3 linked regions of the Oryzias latipes genome follow. The protein of the gene in region 1 purifies or fractionates together with the protein of each later gene. This does not show direct contact. Links are inferred from orthologs where the notes say so. Each region holds a gene or a part of one and is shown in the gene's direction. Other genes may lie near its edges.

Region 1 (5,187 bases):
TTCCTTCCGGGTTTCAGCATCTGGGTCTGCCACAGTCTCGTCAGCCATGACAATGCACCCGGCGGTCTTTGCTCACCACTACAGAGGAGATTCTAGTCGATTTATTTCCTTCAGCATAATAATATGCTTCAATTCAACAGGTCGGCCTCCAAACAACAACAAAAAAGATAAGTGGTCCTGCCAAAAAAAGGTGGAAGTAGTGTGAAGTTTAATTTTACCATTGATTTTAAATAGACTACATGATCAGCCTTAACGTCCACTATTCTGAGAGTAAACTCACTCAGCTCTTCCTAAAATGTTTTCTATAAATTCTCCTTTGTTAGCTGACAGTACTAATTTACATGTAGAAAGTCAAATCCTTGTTTTCCAGCTCTGTTAGTGCAATAATAGCACAGCAGTGAGCCAGCATCTGATCCTTTCCAATATGGCGGCCAAATTTGTGTATGTAAGCTAGTGTAGCGAATCTAGTCTATATAACTCAGTTGTCCTGCATCACATAAGCCGCGGTTACATGGGCAAAATATCTTGATCGGATCAATGGTCGGGTTAAAATTCACCCGTGCACATGGGCACAGAAAACCTTTTTCCGATTAGAACAAACGTTCCCATGGCTCACACTTTCGGTCGGAATGAATAATTTGGGCATGCGCAGTAGTGTAAAAAATCCCGGATGAGGAAATAGGTCCCATAGTAAACAAATCGCTGCCACAGACATTTATTTTGTGCAGCAGCTCGGTAATATGCGAGACGATCTTCAAAACGTGCTTTTATTAATGTTATGAATGTTATGAAGCGCCTGTTCGCTTATCTTTTTATTTAATCCGTGTGGTCAGTGCTTTTTTTGTCGAAGAACGGAGCTGGAAGAAGCCAGTGTTAGGAGAGGCTAACACGGGCTAACAACATTAGCCTTGATGGACACAAAAGCCAGGACCATACGGGAAACGCTGCAATCTGCATCTTGGCTGCACGTAAATGTGTGGGAATAACATCAGCCTTTATTTAGTCGGGACACAACTGGAAACACAAAAAAAAAAGCGGGGCTAGAGTGGAGTGGCGCTTTTCACAGGGCGTCCGCAGAGCAGCTGGTCGGTCCCCTATGAGCTCCTAAGCTTTCTCTCAGCAAAACACCATCTATGCATGACGTAAACCAGAGCAGTAGTGACACACGATCGGAATGACCGTTTACATGATCAACGATCGAATAAACGATCGGCCTAACCCACCTATCTCGATCGAAGAGAAATTTTGATCCGAACGAGTCTGATTGGGGCACACTATTCCGAACGGCGCGTTTACATGACGCATTTTCCTTCCGATCAGGCGTTCTTTCCGATTACTTTTGCCCATGTAAACGCAGCTATAGACAAGTGACCTTTTTTTCCGTCTGCTCCTCATTCACACCGATTTGAATAAAGAAACACTCAGAAATGCAATTTTAAGCTTAGTTTTCTCTAAATGTCCCTCACCATGAGAAAAAATGGCACAAGAACACGTTAAAAACACCAAAAACAGGATTTTAATCGGAATGGGTCTTTAAGGTAACGGGGGTTGGGGGATCTGTTGATTATTTCCCCAGCATACTTTAAGAATGATACTTGGTTGAAAAAAAAGGTTAATTTTTATAAATGGTGTGTAAAACTTGTGTTTTTGATAAAATTAAACTTCATAAATGAAATTAACCCTTAGCACTTTAACATTGGGAGTTGGGTCATCTGGACCCACTAGACAGTGCACTAAACCTTTTTTTCTTTTTTCGATCCTCACTGGTGTCCATGGATTACATGAAATCTTTCCACCTTTATCCACCTTTGTCATGGTAGGGAGAACACGTCAATGTAAGGGTGGGGTCATCTAAGATAGCACAAGGGTTTAATAAAATACTGATCAATGCGACTCTTTTTTATGTCGAGACCTGAAACCGGACGGCCCTGAACGCACCGCGGAAGTTCCGCTGTGACGTCAATGTCGATCTTTAGAGCGGGACTGCAGAGTAGAAACAAACGCCTTTAGCTAATTTCAACATAAACAGACTCGACAAATGAACGTTAGTTCTGAAGTATGGCCCATCACATCGAAGCGGATCTACCAGCAAGTCTTGCATGTTTGAAAGTAAGATATCGCTTCTGTTGTGGTGCTTAAAATAAACCGGGTTTGTTAGATGCTGACTAGCTGCAAGAACAAGCTAGAGGCATTGACTTGCCGTTGGATAAACGAAGTTTATACAACACTGGTTCAAAAACCCACTCATTCACTGTCATTTTAGCAGCAGATTCAAGGAAAAATAGACTTTTCGGTGCTTGATAGTAGTTAGTAAGGTCAACTGTGGTTCTAATGCAGTAACGCCAACAACAATTCATATTACGCAAACACAGAGGGCTTATTTATTTGTGTACGTATATTGTTTTACAAAAGTTTGTACACTGTAATCCAAATTTTTAAACCCGCTTGATCCTGCCCGGGATGTTGGAGATTGGCGCTTGAGGTGAGGATGGAGCGAACTTGAAGAAGAGGGTTGTCATCCAGTTTTTGAGTCTGCTTGTGCTTCTCTCCAGCCAAAACCCAGCAGGAGCCTTAAAACATCAGCCCACCTTTTGTTAGTATTTGTATTTATTAGGGCTGTAATGATTTATTTGAACGATTCAATTCATATCATAATTTGTGGTTGCTGATCTGATCCATAGTTGTTATTGGTTCATTTTGAACGATTCACTGACCTAATAGATCCAGAACTAAACTTCAACCAGTCAGTGTGACTCAGAGACAAATACCTGGTACTGAGTTTTATTTAATTTTGAAACAGTTTTAGGACAGCATAGGTTGATTCCATTAGGAACTCGTCTCAGACAGATCCATCTGTTTGGATTGTAGAATTATAGATCAATAAGGTGGATTAATCGTTACAACCCTATAGTATTTCTGTTTTTGTAACCATTACGGTTTGAGTAAACTAACGACAGGCCAGGTGTTGTGTGGAATCATGGTGTTAAAAAAAGAAGAATTTCTGTTTTTTGACTGCAGCAAATACGTTTTTTAAAATAAAAGTACATCGGCCAAGTCAGATCATCTTCCTGCAACCTAGTTGCTTGAATTGAAAATGTAAATAAGGCAAGCCAAAGATATTTTCTGTTGATACGACTCATTTTCTCTTAATTTACGGCAGTTACCCTCATAACTGAGTGAATGCAGATGTTTAGAATCCAGTATAAAAATATAAGGTTGTTGAGCTTTTGCAGATAAACATCATTAGCACTTTCCTTCAGAACAGCAACTATTGTTGCATTGTTACTTAAGGATATAAAAAAATCTTACCAAAGAATAAAATGAATGGTTATAAAATATCCCTTAATTATTTTAACTATTATAATTTGTGTATTAGACATCAGTTTGAACTTTTTGGTTAATACAGTACAAGTAAGATACAACTAGGCAAGGAAAAATGCTATTATATGAAAAGGAGGGTTACACAGTCTGTTGAGATATAAATTATTCAGGAAAGACCTAAAAAAGCTCATGCAAAAAACAATTTGTTGGTATTTTAAAATTGTGGCATTTAGTATGAGTTTGTAAAGATTATTGTTGTGTATGCAATAATTTTAATACTCTTAAAAGCTCGGAAAGGCAGCCTGAATTTATGAATAAGCTAGGAAAAAATGGGATTGTTATTTGAAAATATACTGATATTTTTCCAGAAGGATGGTCATTTTTATCTTAGAGGTTCCCGCCCATAATTTATCCACATATAGTAGTATATCTCATTACATATCCTACATAAAAGCCTGTTTTTCTTTTTAATCTAGAATGAAATCCAGTTTTCATTGCCACTTAAAAATTGGACACAAAGTCACAGAGGCTTCAGGGATATTTCAGGCCTGCTGCTGTTAAATGTACCTCAGATCACAATCATTTTTTAAGAAAACCTTCCAGGAAAACTTGCTTTGGAATTTTGAATTGGTTTTCCTGAATAACGAGAGATATTGGCTCTTTAAAACATAAGGAAAATAACTATAACTGCACATGTTTTCACTGATTTTACAGTCTCGAGTTAGGGGTTGGTAGTTCAACCACAACTGCTGAATATGTTTTGAATCCGATTATTGAGGACTTTTGGGATGTCTCTGAAGGATTGACTGAATTCACTGACAGAGCAAATGAAGTGAAATTTCTTTACAGAACATCCACATTATATAGGAAGTATTAGCCAACCATTTTAACTTAAAAGACTGAGAACTTACCTCAAAGACTGTCTGCAAGCAAAGCAGTCCTGCAACACGGACTCAGCCAAACCTCATATTTACTGTTTTAGAGTGTACTCTTTCATGTTTTACTATGGCTTTGAGTTACCTGCCTGGGGACTGATGATTAAAAAAAACTCTAGTACTTCATGTTGATCAAACAACTCACTGACAAATATAGGATTTGTTCAAACCAAGTCTTTGAAAAGCCTCCTTCTGGTCATTTATACTAACTTCTAAATTGCAGCGAGTGTGGAGAGGAGCTACAAGGTTACTAGAAAGGTTTACAAATGGAGCATCTTTGAAAGTTCAGACTCTATGGTGCTGGTTAATACTTTGCCTTATTTTGTGATCAAACGTTGGATGTTCCCTTTCTCTAAGCTCTTAATGGATTGGACATTTCCATCACTAAGTAGTGGGACAGACTTCCTCCTAAGTATATCGTTTCAATCTGAGCATTGAAACATTTTAAAACATGATAAAATGATCTGCAGGCACAGAATTTGTGATACACAAGGAGCGTCTGGCTGTTAGCTGAAACTATCCGACTGCTGTGATGCCTTAAGGAAGGGAGTTTGAACATCAAGGACACTGCATCAGCATATTCACACCAGCTTTTCGATTTTGGGACTTTTGGGTTTACAGTTAACACAGACATATTTGGTAGCCTCGCTCATTATGTGATTCAAGAAATCCAACCACTTTCACATGTCTGCCCAAAACTCTGCTAAACTCACAGCCAAGTTTCCTCAACTTTATTCCATTTATTACAGGCCTGTCAAGACGCAGCATTTTCAGATTTCTTTGGAGTGGAATAAAATGGCCCTTTTGGCCAAAGAATAGTTTAATAATTTGAACTACATTCTGTCTTTCAAGATTAAAGATGAAGTTGTATGGTTTCTTTCCTATTTTTTTATTTCTTTTACAAAAGCAGAGTCTGTTGCTCATGTCAGTT
Region 2 (4,906 bases), on another chromosome or scaffold:
CGACTCTGTCCCCGTGATCACGACATGCCCCCTTCTTCTCCTCTTCCTCACTGCATCCTGAAGCGGGTCACATTCGCTGCAGTGTCCCTGATTCGGAGTCGCGCTTCGCACACGTGTGGGGGTGGGGGGTGGGCAGTGACGCATCTATAACGGAAACACTTTGGATTTTCTTCTGACAGGAAAAGTGGATCAGAGCTCTGAAACAGAAAAATGTCTTCAAGTCTGAGAAGTAAAGAAAGTCCAGAAAAATGAGAACCAAAGCGGGACAAAATAACACGATTACACCCCCCTCCTTAGAAGAAAAAACACGGGACCCCCCCTACTCCCCCATCAGACAACGAGGGAAGGAATCTGCTGCCCCCATGTGCACATGTCTGGAACTGCAACGTCATCGTTCCATCTGGATTTAAACTAAAGATTCAGAAAAGAAACAAATGATATAAATTATTTCAACAACTCGATTGTATTTAAACAGATATTTATCAGAGTAATAATACAGTAATATAGTCATTAGTATATCACAGCCTTTATAACAAAATTACAATAGAATAGGATAAGACTATTTGGTTATTTCCTACTTGAATGTTAACATTTATCTATATACATGAATAAATAGATATGATTCATAAAATGTAAAATATTTTAGATACATCTGATTTTTTAAATTTAAGACAAGAAAACAAAAACACATGTTAATATGTGTGGTAATTATAATTTCTTTTCAAAGTTGACACAGTTGAATAAGGCAGTTTTTCATGATGCCTCCTTTATGTCACTTTTTATAATATTCCAATCCAACCAGATTGATCCGTCTGAGATTTACTTTCATTTATCTATTTACTATAACATAAAAACATGTAAATTAAGTGTAATCACAGTTGTGTGTTAATCGTTTACACTTGATTATCCTGAAGAAATCCAAGGATCTGGAAAAGTTTGGGATGAAGATGATCTGGATCCACTTCAGGTCAGAAAATCGGATCCAATCGGATTGTTCAGAATGAACCAAAATTCACTTGGAATCAAATCTGTACGGTGGCCCAGAAGGGACCACAAATCATGATATGAATCCAATTATAGTTCAATAATAATCAGTAGACCACTAATGAAGAAACAGATAAAAAAAGGAAATTCAAAAACGTAAAGTGATGAAACTATCTCACCTGGGACTAAACTAAAACTCACCTAGATGTAAAAAGGAAAATGGTTTTTGGCCAGACTTGACAAAAAGTTTAAAAACAGATTGTCTAACAATAGACCACACATAATATCAGTTTATTTGGTGTTTTTATTTTAACAAACTCCTTTCATTTTCATTATTTTAATGTGATCATAAATCAACAGTTTCTCTGCGTTTGGGCGTCAAATCAAACCACCAACTTTGTACCAAATCAACCATATTTTTTATTTTATAAAATCAAAACCAGCTTTTTGATCCTGTGGACTGTTGACTGATTTAATTTACAAACGGATGGACTTTAAGTGAGATCTGACTTCCGCTACGTCACTTCCTTTAAACAAAAATGGCGATCGTTGCTGTTGCTGCTTGAATGCTTCGTTTTGTTTGTTTTTGTTGTTGTTTGTGTGGCCTTTCGTCAACATGAAGCTGCTTCCGGTTCCGCTCTAATCCCCGCAGGTTCTGACGGTACCGAAGCTCTTTTCTCCAGACGTGAAATTCTTTCTTTTTGTGTCTGCGGCTCCGTTTCCCTCAGACCGAATGATTCCTGTCAACATTTGAAGTTTATTAAGGGAATGCGCGGGAAGCACGCGCGCTCATAAACGCAGGATGTTCCGGTTGTGTGGCGGGTTCTTCTGATGGGAATGTAGCGTGAGGCGCATCTTTATCAGCCAATCACAGAGCAGCTCGAGACACCACAAGAGCAGAGGGTTGCTGAGGTAAAATCATAACGAACCTTCTCTGTGACAACACCTGGAACAGGTCCACCTGCACACCTGGAACAGGTCCACCTGAACACCTGGAACAGGTCCACCTGCACACCTGGAACAGGTCCACCTGCACACCTGGAACAGGTCCACCTGAACACCTGGAACAGGTCCACCTGCACACCTGGAACAGGTCCACCTGAACACCTGGAACAGGTCCACCTGCACACCTGGAACAGGTCCACCTGAACACCTGGAACAGGTTCCCCACCTCTCTGTTCTTCTGCAGCAGTCCAGGTCGCTCTGTTCTCCCTCCTTCATGCTCAGAACCAAATCTTGGTAAGCATCCCCTCTGGCAGGTCTGGTCCTGGTCTGATCCAGGTCTGATCCAGGCTTTGTACTGGTCTGATCCAGGTTTGGTATGGTTGGTACTCTGGTACAGTTCACTTCAGTGGGAACGCAGGGGGACTTTCCACAGAGAGGAGGAGAACCAAACGGAGGAGGTGCTGTAAGCTCCGTGTGTTTGGAGGAGAACCAAACAGCCACAGCGAGAGTCCAAAGAAGCAGGAACCCTGAAGGAGTTTGGAAATGCATGCTGGGTAAAGGAGGAGCAGTGAGGAGCGGCAAGAACTCCTTCAGAGGTGATCCTCAGAGGACCAGAGGCTCTTCTTCTTCCTGACATTTTCAGACAGTAGCGTGGTTGAGTCCGCATCAGTGGGTGAAGGTTCTCCTCAGTGGGTGAGGGTTCTCCTCAGTGGGTGAAGGTTCTCCTCAGTGGGTGAGGGTTCTCCTCAGATGGTGAAGGTTCTCCTCAGTGGGTGAGGGTTTTCCTCAGTGGGATGAGGTTCTCCTCAGTGCGTGAGGGTTCTCCTCAGATGGTGAAGGTTCTCCTCAGTGGTAGAAGGTTCTCCTCAGTGGGTGAGGGTTTTCCTCAGTGGGTGAAGGTTCTCCTCAGTGCGTGAGGGTTCTCCTCAGTGGGTGAAGGTTCTCCTCAGTGGGTGAAGGTTCTCCTCAGTGGTAGAAGGTTCTCCTCAGTGGGTGAGGGTTTTCCTCAGTGGGTGAAGGTTCTCCTCAGTGCGTGAGGGTTCTCCTCAGATGGTGAAGGTTCTCCTCAGTGGTAGAAGGTTCTCCTCAGTGGGTGAGGGTTCTCCTCAGATGGTGAAGGTTCTCCTCAGTGGTAGAAGGTTCTCCTCAGTGGGTGAGGGTTTTCCTCAGTGGGATGAGGTTCTCCTCAGTGGGTGAAGGTTCTCCTCAGTGGTAGAAGGTTCTCCTCAGTGGGTGAGGGTTTTCCTCAGTGGGTGAAGGTTCTCCTCAGTGCGTGAGGGTTCTCCTCAGATGGTGAAGGTTCTCCTCAGTGGTAGAAGGTTCTCCTCAGTGCGTGAGGGTTCTCCTCAGATGGTGAAGGTTCTCCTCAGTGGGTGAGGGTTCTCCTCAGTGGGTGAAGGTTCTCCTCAGTGCGTGAGGGTTCTCCTCAGATGGTGAAGGTTCTCCTCAGTGGTAGAAGGTTCTCCTCAGTGGGTGAAGGTTCTCCTCAGTGGGTGAAGGTTCTCTTCAGTGCGTGAGGGTTCTCCTCAGATGGTGAAGGTTCTCCTCAGATGGTGAAGGTTCTCCTCAGATGGTGAAGGTTCTCCTCAGTGGGTGAGGGTTCTCCTCAGTGGGAGAAGGTTCTCCTCAGTGGGTGAGGGTTCTCCTCAGTGTGAGAAGGTTCTCCTCAGTGGGTGAAGGTTCTCCTCAGATGGTGAAGGTTCTCCTCAGTGGTAGAAGGCTCTCCTCAGTGGGTGAGGGTTCTCCTCAGTGGGAGAAGGTTCTCCTCAGTGGGTGAGGGTTCTCCTCAGTGGGTGAAGTTCTCCTCCTCTTCAGTTTTTAAGTCCCAGACAGGAAGTAGTAGAGAGCCGTAAACTTAAGGCTGATGGTTCCTAAAGTCAGGCCGGGTGGGTCTACGTTGTCCTAAAGCAGAAATTCTCCATGTCTGGTTCAGACTAAAGGATCTTACGTCAGACTCATGGCAGTAATAGATTACTTCTGCTATTACTAAGTACACTTGAGTCACTTTCGTTACATTTTTTGGCTAAAGTATTAATGTTCAGATTAAGCGGAGCCGTTTTTTTGTCATCTGGTCTGAAGCTTGACCTCTGGACCAGGGGGGTATTCCAGAAGGCCCGTTTAAACTCCTCTGACTTTAAGCCTGAACTCTGGCTGAAATCCTCCTGAACTTGCTTACTCTGGGTATGTCGGTTCCAAGAGACCGGATATGAGTTGGCGTCATTACGCTCCACTTGGTAACCCTGGGTTAACGCACGTGCACAGCAGGTACATAAAGACATTCTCAATGGATCGCCGATTTAAGGAGTCACCATGGAAACGTGTGGAGAAAAAGAACAGACAAAGTAAACGCACGAGTTTCTGATCTTATTTCTATTTTCATTGTGACGCATAAATATATGTAACTTATAAAACTTAAATTCATTCAATTGGTAACAAGTAATTGGGTTAAATTTATTCAACCTAATTTCTTACGTCTATCCAACTCCGTGTTTATACAACAGAAATTTACATATTTATCTAACTAAATGTCATTTTACTCCAATTCAATTAAATGTTTTTCCATCTTCATTTATTGTACTTCTTGAACTCTCAGATGTCTATATTTGAGCCTGCAGATATTCTCATATTTATAACAATAAAATGAATAATCTAGTTTGGATTTATAATATATATCATGTATTTTATTATTATGACTGACTGTGACTTCAATTCTTATTCAGTACTGTTGCACTAGTGGTGCTATATAAACTCATCCTCCTCTCCCTCCCTCTCACTCATGGTGCAGAAAGAATTAAACATAGGACAAAATAACTAGACAAAACACAGTAAAACAGCTAAACAACTAAACACATTTGGTCAAAAAGCCACACTTGAACCCAAATCCGTCCAGACAGGCTAAGGGAATGGTATCCCAGAATCCCTTGCGGTGCCGATCTAACAGCAGCATCAAAGTTACACCTACTTATTTGAATTAATT
Region 3 (4,985 bases), on another chromosome or scaffold:
TCATAGAGACAAGGGATAGAGATGGATTCTCCGGGCTTCACTGATGTTTCTTTGACTGTAGTTATGCTACAATAGCAAACTCCTGCAAAAATAAAAATAAAAAATGTATTCAGAGGGGAACCATTAGCTATTCCACAATTTGATTCAAACCAAAGACTTTTTTACATTAAGTCAAGACAAATAAGTACTTTAAATAATTTAAAATAATGTGAGAAGCACAGATAGTGTAAGCCATGTTAATTACAAAAATAAAAGTAAATGTTAACGATTCTTCTTACCTGTTAGACCAACAAGTATCAGAAAACAATTGGAAAGAAAGATCATTTTACGCTGTGTCCAAATTCCCACTCTAAACCCTAACCATTTAAAAACGATATGAGTAGTGAAGGACTTCAGACAGAGTCACTGATGGTTAGAGACACGCAACAAAAACTGATGCAATGGATCTGTCCTTTAACTGAATTTCTACTTCCCCTTTTTTAAGCCAATAACTACATCTCTAAGCTGTTTCCAGCAATTATTTAAACAATGACAAATAAGATAAAGAGTGCCTGGCAATGGGAAAATGTTCTGCAGAACCGTTTAGATGTAAACCCACTTTTATTCAGGGTGATGTTCACTGTTGCTTTTTTGTTTATTATTGTTGAAGTTTATTTCCTAACGAATATTTCCGTAGTATTTTTCAGCAAGTACTAAGTTTTAAAACAAAAAAGTTTCTTTAATTTTGAAAACATTCTCTGACAGATCTCAAGTATGATTTACTTTTGCAGAAAAGAATTTTAGAAATTGCCAGTGAAGAACAACAACAAACAAAAAATTAAGAAAAACCTTGTCAAATAAGATTAATATGATTTTGTTTTCTACAATAGTGTGGCAATGATAAAGAGACACGTCTTGTCTTTTGAAGGTGAAGCTTTAGTTTAAAAAAGGCAAATCTAACAGACTGCAGCTGTTAAAATCAGTTAGATTATTATCTAAAATGTGAAGAAATGTTCTCATTTAAACTCATGTTAAAACCTTTGTCGTAATCATCCCAACACAGACATTTCAACTGAAATATTTATGCTGACTAATTGACTCAATTGAAAAAGTATTTTTTTTTAACAAAACAATGCTTTTTGGAAAATGAAATGCATTTAGAAATGCATCCTTCCTAACCATACATTTTTGAAAGTACCTAAATGTACCCTGCTGTCTTAACTTTTGTGTTTATTCTAACAAAGTCTCAGTAATAAAAAATAAAAAGAAATCCCCTTTTACCCCAAAATATTAATTATTATTTAAAAAAAATACCGGGATAAGCCCGCGTGCATGAGAAACAAGCTGGTTTGTTTCTTAAATCTTTCTTCTTTTTTGGGAGTTTGGTTCATAGATAGATTTATAATAAAAAACTTAAGATTCTTTAAAAAACAACATTGATTTGGGACAACAAGAATTTTGTGGAAAAATATTATGGTCAATCGTTCCCGCATTATTTTTCTTTTATTGATAAAAGTAAAACATGTTATTATTATCATTATTATTTCTTGTTTATATTTTCAATAAAGTTAAAATAAAAAAAACGATCGTCGCCTGTTGATGACGTTTTTCCAGAGGCAAATTTGTCTGCCCGAAATATAAAGCTATAAAGCCGAATGTTTCCTGTACAGATCGGGTAGCGACAGCGACAGTCAACTTTAACTAAACAGGTTATGGTTAAAGTTCAAACCCGACCATGAACTAGTCACACACATTCAGTGGACGCATGCGTATTTAGTCGAAAAGGCTACTTGTCTTCGATTATCATGGAGTACGGAAAGGAGAGGGTGGTGGCTTTGGTGGACATGGACTGCTTCTACGTCCAGGTGGAGCAGAGGCTGAATCCAGCTCTGCGGAACACCCCCTGTGTGGTGGCGCAGTACAAAACCTGGAAGGGTGGCGGGTGAGTTCCTGACAGACTACTGAGTTTGGAACCATCAGCATAGATCACAGACGCGGTCTTTCGTGCAGCATCTCTTGCATTCAGCCGTGAAAACAGGAAGTTAGTTACGTCTGCCTCTATTTAGTCCAGGCTGCTCATTTAAATCTGGTCTACTTAGGCGGGAAATGTGTGTGGCATTTACTGATATTACTACCACAAGTAGTAATAATGAATGTTTATTCAAAATACAAAACGTCTCTTACTCTGCTGCCAGACTTTAACGGTTGCTGGCTTTTTTTATTTTTATTATTATATCAGTATTATAGCTGTCAGCTATGAAGCCAGAGCCCACGGTGTAACCAGGAACATGTGGGTGGATGATGCAAAAAAGCTGTGCCCGGATCTGCAGGTGGCTCGAGTCCGTGAGTCTCACGGCAAAGCCGACCTAACCCAGTAAGTCGGAGTCCTTGAGGGTAACCCACCTCCTGTCTGATGAGCGAAGGCTACGTGTACGAGCGCCCTCCGTTTGCAGTTACAGGGATGCCAGCGTGGAGGTGATCGAGGTGATGTCTCGCTTTGCCGTGATCGAGCGAGCCAGCATCGATGAGGCCTACATGGACTTGACGGCTGCCGTCCAGCAGCGGCTGAAGACCACGACTGAGGAACAAATGAGCCCTTGCCTCCTGAAGACCACTTACATTCAGGGGTATCCTCAAAGTGGACTGGATCCTCCCTCCGCAGATGCATCTCCAGAAGAGATGATTTTATATAAAGGTAACTTCTGACCTAACTTTAGGATGTATTATTCCATTTCTTAAGATTGTTGGTTGTTTTTCTTTTTAGACCAGAGGTAATGAAGGGGTTCGATTGTATTTACTCATCATTTTTCCCTGCAGAGGAGCTGAGATCCAAAGGTCTTCAGCAGTGGATGGAATCCTTACCTACGCCCTCATCAGGGGAGCTGAATTGTGCAGAACTGCAGCTGACCATGGGAGCGCTCATTGTTGAGGAGATGAGGGCTGCAGTGGAGAAACAAACGGGTTTCCGTTGCTCCGCAGGAATATCTCACAACAAGGTAGAGCCAAATCTTTTTTTCTGCAAAATCAGTAGCAACAGTTTAAGGTTAGCTTTCTTTTTTCAGGTCCTGGCTAAGCTCGCCTGCGGTCTGAACAAACCCAACAGACAAACCGTCTTGCCTTTGGAATCTGTGACGGAGCTTTTCAACTCTTTGCCCATTGGCAAGATGTGAGTCTAAAGCTTCACTCCAATAAAAGCACAATAAAAGCAAATGGTGACGCTGCTCTTCTTGTTCAGTCGGAACCTGGGGGGTAAGATGGGGGCTTCGATAATTGAAACTCTGAAAGTGGAGAACATGGGAGATCTCACTCGCTTCTCTCAGTCCCAACTGGTGCAGCACTTTGGAGAAAAAACAGGGTAAGAAAGCCACTGTTGTGATATGTCTGACCAAGATCACTTTTTTTTTTTTTAGATATATGCCCCCCCCCCCCCCCCTCTTTTTATTGTATTTGCATCTCTCTGTTTGCAGCCGGTTAAGTGACGAGTAAGAACAATAATCTGCAATTTTGAAATGTTAGATGCTTTGTCTTTATGGATACAGTTGTTTTTTAATTCAAATGATTAGACCTTCAGAGTTGAAAGACTAATGGAGCAAAACAAATGACATGTCCTAAAATCCAAAAACTAAACCATAAGCACAAAAACTAAATGACAAGAAAATGACACAAGTTCAGATATAATAGATACATATGGCTGTCATTCATAGTCAAAAACAAAAGAAAAGGTGACTAAAATCTATGAAATGGGTCAATCACACCTTCTGGATCTCTGTTTGCAGCCAGTGGCTTTATGACTTGTGCCGAGGGGTCGAGTCTGAAGCTGTTAAGCCCAGGCAGCTTCCCAAGTCTATTGGCTGCAGTAAAAACTTCCCTGGAAAGACGTCTCTAGCCACTAAAGAACAGGTAGAGCCGCATTTATTGCATGTTCCATCTCGTTGTCTGAAATTTGTCCCCTTCAATGCAACAATGAATGATCTGTGTAGGTACAGTACTGGCTTCATCAGCTGGCCCTGGAACTGGAAGAAAGGCTGAACAAAGACAAAGAAACGGTGAGCCTTTAGTTTTGTTTAGTGTATTTCTGATGACGTTCTAGTTGTGAAAGCTTATTATTTTTGTTCCTTTGCTCATAGAATGGTCGAGTGGCTAAGTTGTTGACGGTTGGTGTGCGTCAGCTTGGTGATAAGAGGCCCAGCAGCTTCTCTCGATGCTGCGCTTTGGTGCACTATGAGGCAGCCAAACTATCTAGTGACAGCTTTGCCATTATCAAGAGCCTCAACACAGCAGGAAACCACCAGGCTGCATGGTAATTTGGGGGGAGCAATGCAGTGGGACAATAAAACTGCAGGTTGATTTATTTAATAAGTGTGTCTTGTGTCTCCAGGACTCCACCGCTCACCTTGCTGCACCTCTCTGCTAGCAAGTTCAGCGACGCGCCGTCGTCCGGGGGGATTGCCGGCTTTCTCTCAGCCGGCGTCGCTCCAGGCCGGAGCGTTTCCGCCACCTCTAAAGTCTCAACTCCGCAGGCCTCTGAGCTGAAACAAGACTCTGCATGTAAACAGCGCGGGAGCATTCAGGCCTTCTTTCAAAAGGCACCAGTGAAACAGAAAGGGGTTAGGATGGATGTAGAGGAGGAAATTCCTCCACTTTCTGGTACTAGTCCAACATGTACTGATGACAGTCAGCTGCAGACAGCGGCCTGCTCCTCAGAGAGTTTGCCTCAGTCGAAGCTCAGTTCAGGCTTCTGTTCTTTTTTTCATAAAAAGACTCTGGAAAAAAGCAAACACGAACCCCAAAATAATCCTGGATCCTCTGAAAACAATGAAAGTAAAGCAGCTGAGACTGCTGGAGCAGAGCCACAATCAAAGCGTAGCTCAGAGCTCACACCACATCATCAACCACATGCAGAAGATTCTGATCCAGAATCAAATTGTAACCGTACAAGCGTGGCTGCAGAGGATCTATTGAAGTGCGATCGTTGCGGTCAGGAAGTCCTGGTCTGGGAAATGCCC

Evidence for each region. The genes of interacting proteins can lie anywhere in the genome.
Region 2: the proteins of rad18 (region 1) and shprh purify together in Homo sapiens (affinity purification with western blotting; 3 studies listed by BioGRID and IntAct, with this or other methods). This does not show direct contact. The link is inferred for Oryzias latipes from reciprocal best matches to the Homo sapiens genes RAD18 and SHPRH.
Region 3: the proteins of rad18 (region 1) and polh purify together in Homo sapiens (affinity purification with western blotting; 7 studies listed by BioGRID, with this or other methods). This does not show direct contact. The link is inferred for Oryzias latipes from reciprocal best matches to the Homo sapiens genes RAD18 and POLH.

Annotation. Positions count from the first base shown.
Region 1 is NC_019863.2:2,755,482-2,760,668, forward strand, and holds the start of rad18 (E3 ubiquitin-protein ligase RAD18), read left to right. Parts: upstream 1-1,945; 5' UTR 1,946-2,058; coding exon 2,059-2,109; intron 2,110-5,187. UniProt on the Homo sapiens protein: E3 ubiquitin-protein ligase involved in postreplication repair of UV-damaged DNA. Postreplication repair functions in gap-filling of a daughter strand on replication of damaged DNA.
Region 2 is NC_019880.2:661,009-665,914, forward strand, and holds the start of shprh (E3 ubiquitin-protein ligase SHPRH), read left to right. Parts: upstream 1-1,497; 5' UTR 1,498-2,223; intron 2,224-2,326; 5' UTR 2,327-2,525; intron 2,526-4,906. UniProt on the Homo sapiens protein: E3 ubiquitin-protein ligase involved in DNA repair.
Region 3 is NC_019873.2:20,691,360-20,696,344, reverse strand, and holds the start of polh (DNA polymerase eta), read left to right. Parts: upstream 1-1,576; 5' UTR 1,577-1,784; coding exon 1,785-1,921; intron 1,922-2,218; coding exon 2,219-2,353; intron 2,354-2,432; coding exon 2,433-2,674; intron 2,675-2,796; coding exon 2,797-2,975; intron 2,976-3,041; coding exon 3,042-3,145; intron 3,146-3,214; coding exon 3,215-3,334; intron 3,335-3,755; coding exon 3,756-3,879; intron 3,880-3,959; coding exon 3,960-4,025; intron 4,026-4,106; coding exon 4,107-4,279; intron 4,280-4,357; coding exon 4,358-4,985. Other genes in the region: uncharacterized protein LOC105355791, read right to left, coding at 1-82, 279-324. UniProt on the Homo sapiens protein: DNA polymerase specifically involved in the DNA repair by translesion synthesis (TLS). Due to low processivity on both damaged and normal DNA, cooperates with the heterotetrameric (REV3L, REV7, POLD2 and POLD3) POLZ complex for complete bypass of DNA lesions.